3 linked regions of the Coturnix japonica genome follow. The protein of the gene in region 3 interacts with the protein of the main gene of each other region in a biochemical or structural test. Links are inferred from orthologs where the notes say so. Each region holds a gene or a part of one and is shown on either strand. Other genes may lie near its edges.

Region 1 (4,086 bases), on a different chromosome or scaffold from region 3:
TAAATTAATTTCCATGCTTTATAGAGATGCAATGAAATTTTCTCATGCAGTGAAGAAGTGAAAGGAGGATAACTTAGTTGAGCCAGCACAATCAATTTGTCACTCAAGCAGTGAAATGTGTACATCTAATCCAGATGCCTAAACTATAAACTATTCTCAGTATAGAATAGACAAATGAAAAAGTTTCCTCCAGAGGGGTAATTCAGCTCAGAAGCCCAGTTCAGTTGTTCCGAGTTGTTGTGAAGTTACTAGGTTGCATATATTCAGTTGAGAAAACAAGATCAAGTTGTCAAAATTAGACAACAAACTAGGATTCTAAAGTTAAGTACAGAAATTGCTCTCTAGATTCATTGTATTCCCTACACTGCCACAGGACAGCAGTCTTTCGTGTTTAAATCATACCTCAAATACATCACAACAGTAAGATTGGTTACATCTCATAATCTTAAGAGCCAAACCAAGTAAGACAGACATAAAATAAGAAATCTGGTAACAACTCCTAAGAAACAAGAAAAATCACAAAGCACAGGGAAAGACTACTTTACAGCAGTTGCCAGCAGATACCAAGTGCCAATGCAACACACTCCTTACCATCGAATGACAGTACTGCAGCAGCTCACTACCAGCATATCTGGAGCAAAAACCATGTACCATGGTACTGAAGACGTACTTTACTAATTCCTCAAAGCAAATGTATTCTTAACACACCCTGTATCTCATAAGTACCAACTTAAAGTATTACAACAATTCAGCATAACGAACGGTATTTAGCATAATTTAAGTTACACAGCCACCAGTTATTTCTGCTCCCCATGAAAACCATTTGGCAGGACTAAGAGGATGGTCCTAAGACGGATTTTTTTTTTCTAGACTAGCATTGCATTAGGTATGTATTAAAGTGATGATATATGAAAGCATTTATTGACAAAAGGCTATTAAGGAAGTCAGTAACAAACAAATGAAAACAAAGTAAGGTGAAACAAGTAAATAATCTATAATCGCCTAACTCTTGAAGATGAATTAAGCTCACATTCCTCTCTTGTCAAAGGCACAGCTGGAGGACTTAAAGTGCAGGGGACAGCAAGTGAGCCTAGAAAGGAAAGGAATATGCCAAAGGAAAAAGAGGTGAGATGACAAAGAAGATTTTTAAGACAAGAAAGTAAGATCAAAAGGGAAGGGGAAAAAAAAAAATCACGGTGAAGGAAATATGGGAGGAAGAAAGCTGAAACAGGAAAGGTGATAAGGGAATGGTGATGATTAAGAAATAGGGCTGAAAAGGAAATAAGGATTGGAAAAGGATCACAATAAGGACACAGCTTTCAGTGGCAGACAAAGTTACTGGGAGACAAAGGAGGTGATTAGCTGCAATGACAAACAACTGCAAGACTTGCCATCTGGATGGCGGCAATAAATACATGAACAAACAAACAGGTAAGAGGTTATTTGGGGGGGGAGAGAGGGGTGAGAAAGGGAGGAGGGTTGGGAAACTCTCCCTGGGAACACAACATTAGGGAGCTACAAGGGAAAACCTGGGGCACAGTCCTTGATAAAGCTGAGGAAGATAACAACAATGGAAATAAATACTTTAGAGATGACAGTAAGGGGTTGGGTGGGTACACAAGAGAAATTTGGCTACAACCACACGGGTCCTATATAGATCTGAGTGCTACTAGTTTTGAGATGGAAACAACAGAATGAAAGGTAACCACGTGAAGAATAAAGGAGAAAAGAGAAGTGAAGACAGACAAAAAACTAACACTGGTGATGAGACAAGCTACGGGAAAAGCTCCAGAGGCCTCAGGATAGAATAGATGAGGCCTAGAATGAACACGGCCTGGGCATACAGTCCTAGGGCCAGTGAGAAGGCAGAAGAGGTGTAGGGCTCTGGAAAGAAGGGCCCGAAGGGTCAGGATCTGAGAGATGTAAGTCTAAAGCAACGACCGTGGCGGTCCAGGCCACGTGCCGGGAAGGGCTGGGAGGCGGGAGGGAGGTCGGGCCGACCTCGATAGGGGAGCGGGCAGGGCAGACAACAGGCAGATCTGTGAGGCGAGGGTTGCCGGCAGCGCGGGCCCTCGCGGTCCGGCGGGGTGATGTAATTCCAGTGCGTAGTTAGAGGCCTCCCGCACCGGCCCGCAACTTCGAGGCCGGAGCTCCGAACCCGTCAGACAACGACTCCCGCTGTCTCTGGAACGCGGTGTACGCCCGGTAGAAGAAAGGCGGGCGGGCAGGTCGGCCAGGCCCAGCCCCTCCTGCTCCCGCGCTCCTCGCTGTATGACTCAAAGCCGGGCCACGCTTCGTTAAGCCCTTGTCGCCTTGGCCCAGCTGAGCTTCCCCACCCGGCCCGGCTGCGTTGCTGGCCTGGCTGCGACACAGCACCGCGGCCTCCCGCACTCACCAGTATCGCACGTCCCGCAGAGTCAGGCCGCGTCCGCCCGCCCCTTCCGCTACCGCCGAGCCCAGATCCGCCACCGCCTCCCCTCAGCACGGCTCAGAAAGCGAGAAGGCACCGCCCCCCTTAGCTTGGCTCGGAGCGACCCACGGCGTGGAGAGGACCCAACCCGTGGGTAGACGCGAAGTCTACCCAGCCCGCTGCCGCCTCCTCTCCTCTCCCTAAAGGCGGGCAAAGGGCTAGCAAAGACAGCGCAGCAGAACCTCTCCCCACCTAAGCCACCGGAAGAGATCAGCGTAGTTTGAGCCTCGAGTCCGGAACTAAAAATAACCGGCAGCCACGGCGCCCGCGCGGGGAGGAGTTGCCCTTTGGTTGTGCTGCTCTCCACAAGCCTGCCTTCTCCGGCTGCCCCGGCGGAAATGACAAAGGCAGGTGTGTGTGCAGCCGGAAATGACAACGGCGCAGTCGTTCAACAGGGTCGCGTTGATGGTCCGAGTCTTCTGGCCTGTACGTTTTACTGCCCTAAAGGGTCATCCTGCTTGGCCCCCCAGAGTTAGGCCGCTTCTAGAGCCATCAGGTGCACTCATTTTCCAGTCTGAAATGCTAAGACTTGTATCTGCTCATGATGAAATCGCAAATGCTTTTTTATTTATTAGATACTAATTCTTAGCTTGTCCTAGGCCACTGAATTACGTGGTATCCAGTGTTAAAGTTACAATGAACACTGAAGAAAATCCCCATCTGACATTACCAAATTAAACTGCTCTCATCTGAACGGCATCAAGAGTCACTAGTTTCGAGTAAACACTGAATTGAAAAATGGCAGTTAAAGAGAAATGGTCACAATGACCTAAATATAATTAGAAATTGTAATGTTATTGTGAATTTCATGAAAAACAAAAAAACAACTCAGAAAACAACATTGCGGAGAGAATAGGGTAGAAATTCTTTGAAAGAAAAGTTTAATCATTCAGTTTGTGAGCTGACGGGGAGATGCTTGAAGGTCTGATAGAGAAATAGATCATGAACTAAATAATGATGTTTGTGATCTTTGAACAAATGTATATGAATTTAATGCAAGATAAAATAAAAACTGCTAGTTTTTGTATCATTGTCACATGGATTACAAGAGGGGCAGTTAATTTTCAAAAGCATGGGATGGATAATGCAAAATCATGCCAAAATTAAGCCAAGTTATTGAAATCAAGGTTTTGGAAAAGTAATGCTTTGGACTCTGTCCTGCCTTATAATTCCGCAGTCCTCAGGAATAAACATTCATGGTACTGTGATGTAAAGGAGGAGGGTGGGATTAATGTATCCTCTGTATTTTGCTTCATCATGGCTCTCTGTACTGTATCCTCCCAAACTATGGGGACTTTCCTTGCCAAGATGAAGTCAAATGCTGGTCTGAATTATACCAAAAGATACTTAAAGCAACTTGCATGGAATCATTAAAAAAGTTTTTTATGAAGAATTCTGCCCAGAAAAGTTTTTTATGAAGAATTCTGCCCATAAGGAGCACTAGCTCCTTATGAAGAGAGAAATGGGGAAGCAACAGAGAGAAACAAAAGATTTCTTTGTTCTCCAAAATGTTTCACTTGCATGCTGGCTCCAGCAGCTTCACACCATTTTCAAAAACTGGCCTTAGAATCATAGAATCGCCAAGGTTGGAAAACACCTAAAAGATCATCCAGTCC
Region 2 (4,148 bases), about 92 Mb from region 3:
CCGCAGGGGCCGAGAGGGACGAGGCCGGGACAGGGGAAGTCAGAATGGAGCCCCGCTCCTCACTCACCCGTCCTTGCGGCGGGCCTTGTAGACGTGCCCGTAGGTGCCTCTGCCCACCTTGCAGCCCTCGTACTCGAACAGGTCCTCGACCCGCTCCCGCTCGCCGGTCAGTTTCACCTTGAAGTCATAGTCCATCTTCGCCGACCCGCGACGCCTCTCGGCAGCCGCGCACCCCGCCCCGCCACCCCCGGGCAGCGGCAACAGGAGGATGAGGAGGACGAGGATGAGGCCCCCGTGCCGCCCCGCGGAGCATGCAGGGCCGGGCGGCGGCGGCGGAGCTGCTCGCTCCTTCCCTCCGCGCCCCGTCCCCGGCCGCTCCGCTCCCTCCCGCCGGCTCGCGGCACAACAGCCGGGCTGCGCTCGGAATACGGCGGCCGCGCCTGGCCGCACTGCTGCAAACAAGCGTCGCAAGCCCCAGCACGACCCCGCCTTCTCCAGCCCCGGCGTGCCTTGCGGAGCGGGGCCGCGATGTGCTGGGAGCTGTAGTGCCGTGCGACAGCCAGCTCCAGCGTTCTGAAAGGAGAACAGCGTTTTCTGGAACGTTCTGAGAGCGTTTGTGTTTATCAACCAACATACAGCCATAGTTTGGAGCTGGGTCTGGAGAGCTGTGTTAGCACGCAGCGTCCCCACAGACATTGTGTGAAGCAACGAAACACCAAGTGCAAGGAAATAACCTACCCCAGAACCCAACACGTAACAGCATAAATAAGCTCTAAAGAAATTAAACGACTGAACGATTGAATGAACCGGGTTTATAGAGCTCACTTTAAGAAACTTAAAATCAGTTTGCTGAGGTTTGCTGCCCTCTACAGGCTGCTACTATTATCGTCCTACAAGTACCGTGTGCTTGGGAAAGATGCTTCTGCAGCGCTATAATAACAACGTTAAAGAGTTCCTACTGTTATTTTGGTATTAAAAGAGACAAATATCAGACAAAGGAAGCCAAAGCACACTGCAGCTTTGAATAACTGATTATTCGTGGTGTGATGAGGAACGTGAATAACAAGGGTTGGACTTAGTGAGTAAACCTAGTAGCACAGAGTAGCGCTGAGCATCACAACAGCCCGATATTGCAGCGCTCAGAGGGATGCGTGCTGAAATCCCCCCTGTGTTAGTCACACCATCGCTGTCCCGGCCGTTGGCCTCTGTCTGGCTGCGCATGCCCGGGAGGGGGCGGCGCTGGGCGGAGGGCCGCGCTCGGAACTCGCTCTCTCGGCTCCCTGCAGCCGCCCGGACCGCAATCGGGGTTGGAACGCCCGCTCTCTCGGCCAGGGGTCGGTGTCTTTCCGCTCCCGCCGCCGGGAGGGAAGGGGAGAGCAGAGCGGAGCGGGGCCGGGAGCCGGGCCGTCCCGCGGGCTGCAGGCGGAGCGGGGCTCCCGGGGCTCCCCGGCCCCTCTTCGTGTCGGGCCGCCCCGCGGCCGGACGGCGGCATGGACAACTCCCCGGCTCCGCGCCGCGGGTGATGCCGCTGCCCCGGGGGCGCGGGCGGCGCTGGAGGCGGCGATCCGGCCGGTGGCGGTTAGTGCGGGGCCCGGCCGGGGGAGCGTGAGGAGGCGGGGGGACGCGGCCTACCTCGTCCCGTCTGGCCGGCCGGGTGGTTGGACGGGAGAGGTGTCGGTCACCGCCCCCGGCCTCCCCCGATCCGGCTGCGGGCACGGGACGGGGCCGGCCCGGAGGTGCCGCTGCTCCGCGCCTCGCGTGGCGCCCGGGCCGGAGAGAGGGCTGCGGAGCCGCCGCTGCCCGTGGAAGCGGGGAAGGCCGCGGGATTCTGATCGCCGTGCGACGCTTCCTTTGTCTGCCTTCGCTTCCCCCTCCCTCCCTCACGCACGGACTGGCGGTTTCTCTCCCTCTTTCTTTTTTTTTCTTTCCCTTCAAGTTGGGTGAGATCATCTCGCCCGGAGGCTGAGATGAGATGTGACGGAAATCTTAAGTGGTCTCGTGGTCCGCGAGGTTTCCTCATCTAAACTCAGTTGTCGTCTTGCAGTCAGGTGGTAGGCGTTCGGAAAGCGCATACCTCATGGCATGGGGGGCAGGGAGCCTTGGAGAGGGGCCAGAGCCTAAAAGCGTGTCGTATGTGTGGCTTGGTTAGAAACATCATCAATAGTGGAGAATGGGCCAGAATAGATGTGAATAAAGAAGGAAAGGAGTTAGTCTTGGGCTGGAAAATGCGAGTTTCTGGTATGTGGCACCTGTTTCTTTGCAGTGCAAGAGTAATCCAGAGCTCTAAATGGGTTTTACATTTTGATTTCTTAGTAAAGAGCCTTAAATTTTCAACTCCTTGAAATATTTTAAAGGCCAAAGTATTTCATTTTGGTGGTGTCTGATAACAAACATGGCTAGTAGCTGTCATCCTTGCAGTTATGTTAAGCAGGTGGGACAGCCAAAGGCTTCACGCTTCTTGTGGTTTCTAAGTGAGTCGCTTAAGGAGTGTGAGTAATCACCCTGCCGTCCCATTGTCAACAAAACAGAGTTTACTTCAGTTTTTGTGGGTAGTAGAGTTCCAGATTTTGCATGAATGCAGGAGGAAGAGCAGAGAATCCCTCTTTCACCCAGCAGTTTAAGTTTAGGTTGAGGGAGTCTACATGCGATGGGCTTCTCATCTCAGGAACCTACGTGTGAGTTTCTCTGCAGCAGCCTGGTGCTATAGGCAGGAAGTCAGTTAAGGTATGGGAGCTGTAGGGCAGGCACTAACACTTACTGTTAGGTTTTCCTCTCAGTAGCAGCATTACGTGAAACTAAATAAACTATATCTGTCATCTTCCATGTGCTACTTATCTCAAGTATTAAGTCAGCTGGAGGCAGAGGCACTTTAATACTTACTGTGGTATGGATTAAGCATTTTCTTGATGGCAGTCAAGCGCTGGTGCTGTCAGGATAGCAATAGTGCTATAACCACATGTTGAGCAGAGGAGGGATTTTGTTTGGGGGAAGGCAGAGTAGTGAGATAAAGAGCTGGCTGAGAAATTGGTGTTTAGAAATGTGCTGGGAGAAGTGACCTGATTTGAGCATAGCCATTGTGGTAAACAAGAGCCAGTATTTAACAGCAGATTGTGAGGCTGAGCACAGAGGGTAACAGTAAATTAACAGACCCTGCAAACATGATGGGAACAGAAAATGTCTTGAGAGGGGGTACCCAGATTTCATGTAGTTTAAGTTAAATGGGTTTAACAGCTAGGAGGGAAGCATTACGTACATCCAAATGCAGCACTGGATGCAGGAGACAGATGTATGACAAGATTGACTGGCATAGTTGGAAGTGCAGTTACTTATGGTGAAGGGGGAAAAGTGGCAGATGGGGTGGAAAATGAGGAGACCAAGGATGCATCAGAATGGATCCCACAGAGAACATAAGCAAGGTATATTAAATGTATGCCAGCGTCTGCTGTTGGCAAATACATTTCCTGATTCTTCGTATCTGTTGGCAGCAGTGATTAAGATTTACTCTTTAATGAATGTATGTTGATTTGGTTTGCTTGTTGGCTTGTGAACTTGTCTGTGAAGACTAATTACTTAGTGGGAGTGTGCTGAGAATGCTGTTCTGTGTTTTCCCGTTTAACACTTGAAGAGATTGACATGCTGGTGAATTGACCCCTCATAAAGAAGTATTTACCCAATAACTTCTTCTCCACGATTAAACAGAGTGCTAGTGCTGCATGGCGATTCCTGGTAATCTCATTAGAGAAGTGATCTGTTCTGTCAGTTGTCTACCACAGCAAGTATTACAGATGGCTTTTGTTAAATGTGAAGCCCCATTGAAAGGATGACTCCCTGCTTTCTCTTCTTTAAAACTGAGTATTGAAGAACAGGTATGGCCAAGAACAGGGCAATTCATTCCTTTGTTAGCTAATGCTTGGACTAGAGATTGCAAGGAAAACGTCAAAGTTGTGTCAGAAAGTCAAAAGGGTAACTTCTACCAAAAATATATCTGTAGGCTTTGTGCTATGGGAGTGGTAGTAAGGACAGAGATAATGCTGTAATGTGCTTATCAGTAAACATTTCAAGAGTCCTCCAAAGCAGTAACTGGTTTGGTTTTTTTTTGGAAGTCTACACTGGGTAATTACAGAACAATGCTTTCAGTGATATTTAGC
Region 3 (4,016 bases):
TGCAGACATCAGGATGTCAGCTTCAAGTCTCTGTGAATGGGTAGATCCTGTGGTTGCTGAAAGGAGCTGGAAAACAACTTGTGGTAAAAGTTCTGGCAAACAAAAATAGCAGGGCTGACATTTTATTTCAACCTTGTGTTTTTTAAGTGTTTTTATTTTTCTCTTTGGATGCTCACATCCCTTTTTGAACTCGGTGCTGACAAGAGGCTGACCCAGGACAGAAGGCTGAGCAAGGCAGGGGGCTGCTGCCTTAGGGAAGGAGGCCCACAGACAACCATACTCTGGGGATAAGCATTAAATGCTGATCTTGTTCCCTTTCCAGTGCCTGCACAGGTGAGGCTCCAGTTCAAAACGCACCAACTACAGGGTAGGTTTTGGTGGCCCACTGCAACTGCAAGGCCTGAAGCAAAGTGTGTGTCTGAGTACAGATGGGGCAAAAGCTCCAAAGCTTTAAGGCCACAAGATTTTGGACAGCTGGACTTTGTGGAGGGTGCCAGGCCAGACACTTTGGTATGTGGGGTCTGTAGTATCCAGGTTACCTGGGCCCTGGGGAAGTCCCAAACCTCCAGTGTCTGAAAAGATCCTGCAGTGTGTGGGGCTGTCCTGCTGAGCAAGAGATGCTGACTGTAGTGTGAGTGAGTGTGAACAAGGAGAGCCCAGAGGAGAACCCTGCACTGCTCTTAACTCCAGCGGACCTGCTGCAGCAATCAGAAAAACAGCTCAAAAATCCCTGCCCATGACTCCTGGCTCAACTAACCTTTCAAAACACACAAACTTGAAGGTTTTCATTCTCTTTCCCCTGCTTACTGAGAATACAGCTCCCTGCTGAGAATTCTTACAGCTCCTTCCACACCTGGGCCCTCCTTGCCGGCAGTGCAGCAGAAGCCACCCCTCGCTTTCTCCCTTTCCTCCTGCGGGCAGCACTACGAGGATGCTGGGCAGTGACCCTCTCCCCCGCCTCAGCCGGAGCGCAGCTCCCAGCCCGCCCAACCCTGTGCAAGCAGAGCGATAGCCACAACGAGTCAAAATGCAGCTAGTCCCCTCGACTCGCGTGACTTTCACCAGGCTTATGTTCCGCAGGGGGAGGCGGGCTCACGTGCGCGGAGCGGAGCCGTGCCGTGCCCCCCACGCTCTGCCCGCCCGCCGAGGGGCGGCCGGCGGCCAGGGCCACCTTTAGAGCCGGCGGCGGCGGCGAGGTATGGCCGTGCCGACGGGGCGGTGCCGGCCGCCGTAACCAATGGCTCGGCTCCGCTGTTTAAATAGACTCGTCCTGTCAATCATTTTCTCCTTCGTCAACCTCCCTTCAATCGCCATATTGGGCAACTGAGAAAAGGGCTCGTCTCGCCTTGTTTTTTTTCCCTCTCCGCCCGTACGACGTGGCCGTGGGGAGAGCGGCGGGGCCGTGCGGGCAGCGGTGGGGCCGTGCCGACGGCAGCGCGAGGCCGCCCCCGGGGCCGCGGAGGGCAGCGCCGCTCCCCGCTCGGCCGCTCCCCTCCGGAGCCGCCCGGGCTGCCCGGCGGCGGCGGCTGTCGGGGTTCGGCCGGCCCGGCGCTTATGCAATTGCGCGCCGCCGCCTCTCCTCCGCGGGCCGAGGCGGGGCCGCAGAGAGGGGGCCGTACGGAGACAGACCGCGGAGGAGAACCTGCGAGCGGCCGCGGGTAAGGAGCGGAGAGGAAGAGCGGGGAGAGCCGCGAGAAAGCCCAGCGCCATCGGCGACGGCAGAAAGGGAGGGGGAGATGTCAAACGTCCGCATTTCTAATGGGAGCCCTACCCTGGAGCGCATGGAGGCGCGACAGTCGGAGTACCCGAAGCCGTCGGCCTGCAGGAACCTCTTCGGGCCGATAAACCACGAAGAGTTAAACAGGGACTTGAAGAAGCACCGCAAGGAAATGGAAGAGGCATGCCAGAGGAAGTGGAATTTCGATTTCCAGAACCACAAGCCGCTGGAAGGCAGGTACGAGTGGCAAGCCGTGGAGAAGGGGAGCTCGCCCGACTTGTCCTTCAGACCACTGAGGCTACCCAAAGCCATATGCAAGTCCATCGTCTGTCAGAGCCTGGATGAAAACAAGAATTGCCAAACAGCAATTTGCGCCTCTTCTCAGGGAATCTCAGAGGATACCCACTGTGCAGGCGGGAAGACCAGTGTTGCTGGCGGTCAGACGGACTTTGCAGAGCAGTGCGCCGGGCAGAGGAAAAGACCCGCCGCCGACGGTAACGTACCCCGCGGGCAGCGCCGGGCCCGGCCCCCGCCTCCTCCCGCCCGAACGCCCCCGGTGCCGCCCGCGAGCGCCCGGAGCTCCGCGCTCGGCGGGGACCGCGGGTGAGCGGCGGGACCGAGTGGCGCCCCTCGGGCAGCCCCTCTGCGGAGGAGAAGAGGGGACGCTCCGAGCGCCGGAGTCGGGGCGAAACTAAAACGCGCGTCTCTTTGCCCAGAGAAAAGCCCGTCCGCGCCCACCTTCGCGTAGCCCGGTAGCTGACGTAGGGATGCGGGGACGTGCGGGAATAAGCCCCGGCCCCGTCTCTCCTCCCGCCCCCGGGTGCCGAGCGAGCACCTTGCGGGACAGCGTTTTAAACCGGTCTTCTCCCCCCCCCCTGTTTTTTAATTTTCCCCTCCTAGATTCCTCTCCTCAAAATAAAAGAGCCAACACAACAGAAGAGGAGGTTTCAGAAGACTCCCCCAGTGCCAGTTCAGTGGAGCAAACGCCCAAGAAATCGAGCCCGAGACGACATCAAACGTAAACTCCCCGAGTAGGTTCCCTTCGGGCTCTGGGCATTAGGATGCCTCGGGGGTGTCCGCCCCGAGCTCGGGACCGGGCTTCACGCGGCGTCGTGGTGCTGGGGGGCTGCCCCGCCTCGGCGCCGTTCGCACTGTCCCACCGTGGCAGGGAGCTCCGGCCCAGGAGGGCTCTGGATAAAAGCGGGGCTGAGCGGGAGCCTCTTGGGCTGAGAGAGGAGAGCTTGTGCTCCGGTTTTGTGTTGTTTTTCTCTTTTTTTTTTTATTTTTCTCCTCCCCGGTCGTTGTGGTTTTAGTTTCAGGCGCTGGCTGAGTTTCCAGGGAAGGGAGCGGGTTAATGGCAGCCGTGTGTGGTGTTCTTGTTGTTGTTTTGTTTCAGCGCGAGGGCTGGGGCGGAGGGAGGTGGTACATCGCGCCGGCGGTTTCGGGGCCGGGGTTTAGCGGGAAGGTTTGCGAACGCGGTTCGCGATTGTGCCGAAGAGATTAAGCTGCAAAGCAGAAGTTGCAACAAATTACTCCTGCTGTGGGGGGTGGGGGGGTTAGGGTTAGGCGTCAGCCCTCGCCTCTATGCAAATAGCGCACCACCGCCCGCTCCTTCGGGGCGGGGGCAGCTCCGCGGCCCGGTGGCGGCCCGGCCCCACGGGCTCCGAGCGGAGGCGGCCGACGGCCCTGGGGCGGCCGGGCTTAGAGTGCCGCGGGGCTGGGACGACGCACGGGCCGTGACCGGGCCGGGCCTTCCCTGCTGCGGGGAGCGGTACGAGCCCGTTGAAGGGAGCGCGTCGCTTTCAGCCTCTCTAATGTCTTCTCCCCGTCTTCTTCCCGTTGCAGGGCGGAGGACTCGTGTTTCCTTGCTCATCGGGGGGCGGTGAAGCCAGGAAGATAAACAAACAAACAAACAAAAAAAAAGTCGTAGTAGAGATGAATACATATCGTCGGTCTCCATGGGATGGGGACCCTGTGCAAGCACTGAAAAACAACTTCAGCAAAACAAACAAAAAAAAGCAGACAATAACACTAAAAGTTTAGACACTCTTAAAAAAAGACCTGCCTCTAAAAGCATCGGATGTAGCATTGTGCAATTAGGTGTTTCCTTATTTGCTTCATTGTACTACCTGTGTATATAGTTTTTACCTTATGTAGCACATAAACGTTTTGGGAAGGGGGGGGGGAGTGGAAGAGGGCGACCGATGGAGACTTGCTTTCGCCATCTAGCAAGCAAAGAAATGAAGAGAAGCAGTGTAGGCTTTTTATTCCTTAAAGATGTATTGTCCCTTTACGTGGG

What was found.
Region 1: the proteins of CDKN1B (region 3) and CUL1 form a complex in vitro, tested with the Homo sapiens proteins (2 studies listed by BioGRID, with this or other methods). The link is inferred for Coturnix japonica from reciprocal best matches to the Homo sapiens genes CDKN1B and CUL1.
Region 2: of the proteins of CDKN1B (region 3) and RNF6, one has a biochemical effect on the other in vitro, tested with the Homo sapiens proteins (2 studies listed by BioGRID, with this or other methods). The link is inferred for Coturnix japonica from reciprocal best matches to the Homo sapiens genes CDKN1B and RNF6.

Annotation. Positions count from the first base shown.
Region 1 is NC_029517.1:75,356,523-75,360,608, reverse strand, and holds the start of CUL1 (cullin-1), read right to left. Parts: upstream 2,804-4,086; 5' UTR 2,663-2,803; intron 2,657-2,662; exon of another isoform or gene 2,396-2,656; intron 1-2,395. UniProt on the Homo sapiens protein: Core component of multiple cullin-RING-based SCF (SKP1-CUL1-F-box protein) E3 ubiquitin-protein ligase complexes, which mediate the ubiquitination of proteins involved in cell cycle progression, signal transduction and transcription.
Region 2 is NC_029516.1:158,057,864-158,062,011, forward strand, and holds the start of RNF6 (E3 ubiquitin-protein ligase RNF6), read left to right. Parts: upstream 1-1,345; 5' UTR 1,346-1,522; coding exon 1,523-1,578; intron 1,579-1,621; exon of another isoform or gene 1,622-3,389; coding exon of another isoform or gene 3,390-3,416; exon of another isoform or gene 3,417-4,148. UniProt on the Homo sapiens protein: E3 ubiquitin-protein ligase mediating 'Lys-48'-linked polyubiquitination of LIMK1 and its subsequent targeting to the proteasome for degradation. Negatively regulates axonal outgrowth through regulation of the LIMK1 turnover.
Region 3 is NC_029516.1:66,307,649-66,311,664, forward strand, and holds the start of CDKN1B (cyclin-dependent kinase inhibitor 1B), read left to right. Parts: upstream 1-1,211; 5' UTR 1,212-1,736; coding exon 1,737-2,211; intron 2,212-2,617; coding exon 2,618-2,739; 3' UTR 2,740-2,748; intron 2,749-3,562; 3' UTR 3,563-4,016. UniProt on the Homo sapiens protein: Important regulator of cell cycle progression. Inhibits the kinase activity of CDK2 bound to cyclin A, but has little inhibitory activity on CDK2 bound to SPDYA. Involved in G1 arrest. Potent inhibitor of cyclin E- and cyclin A-CDK2 complexes.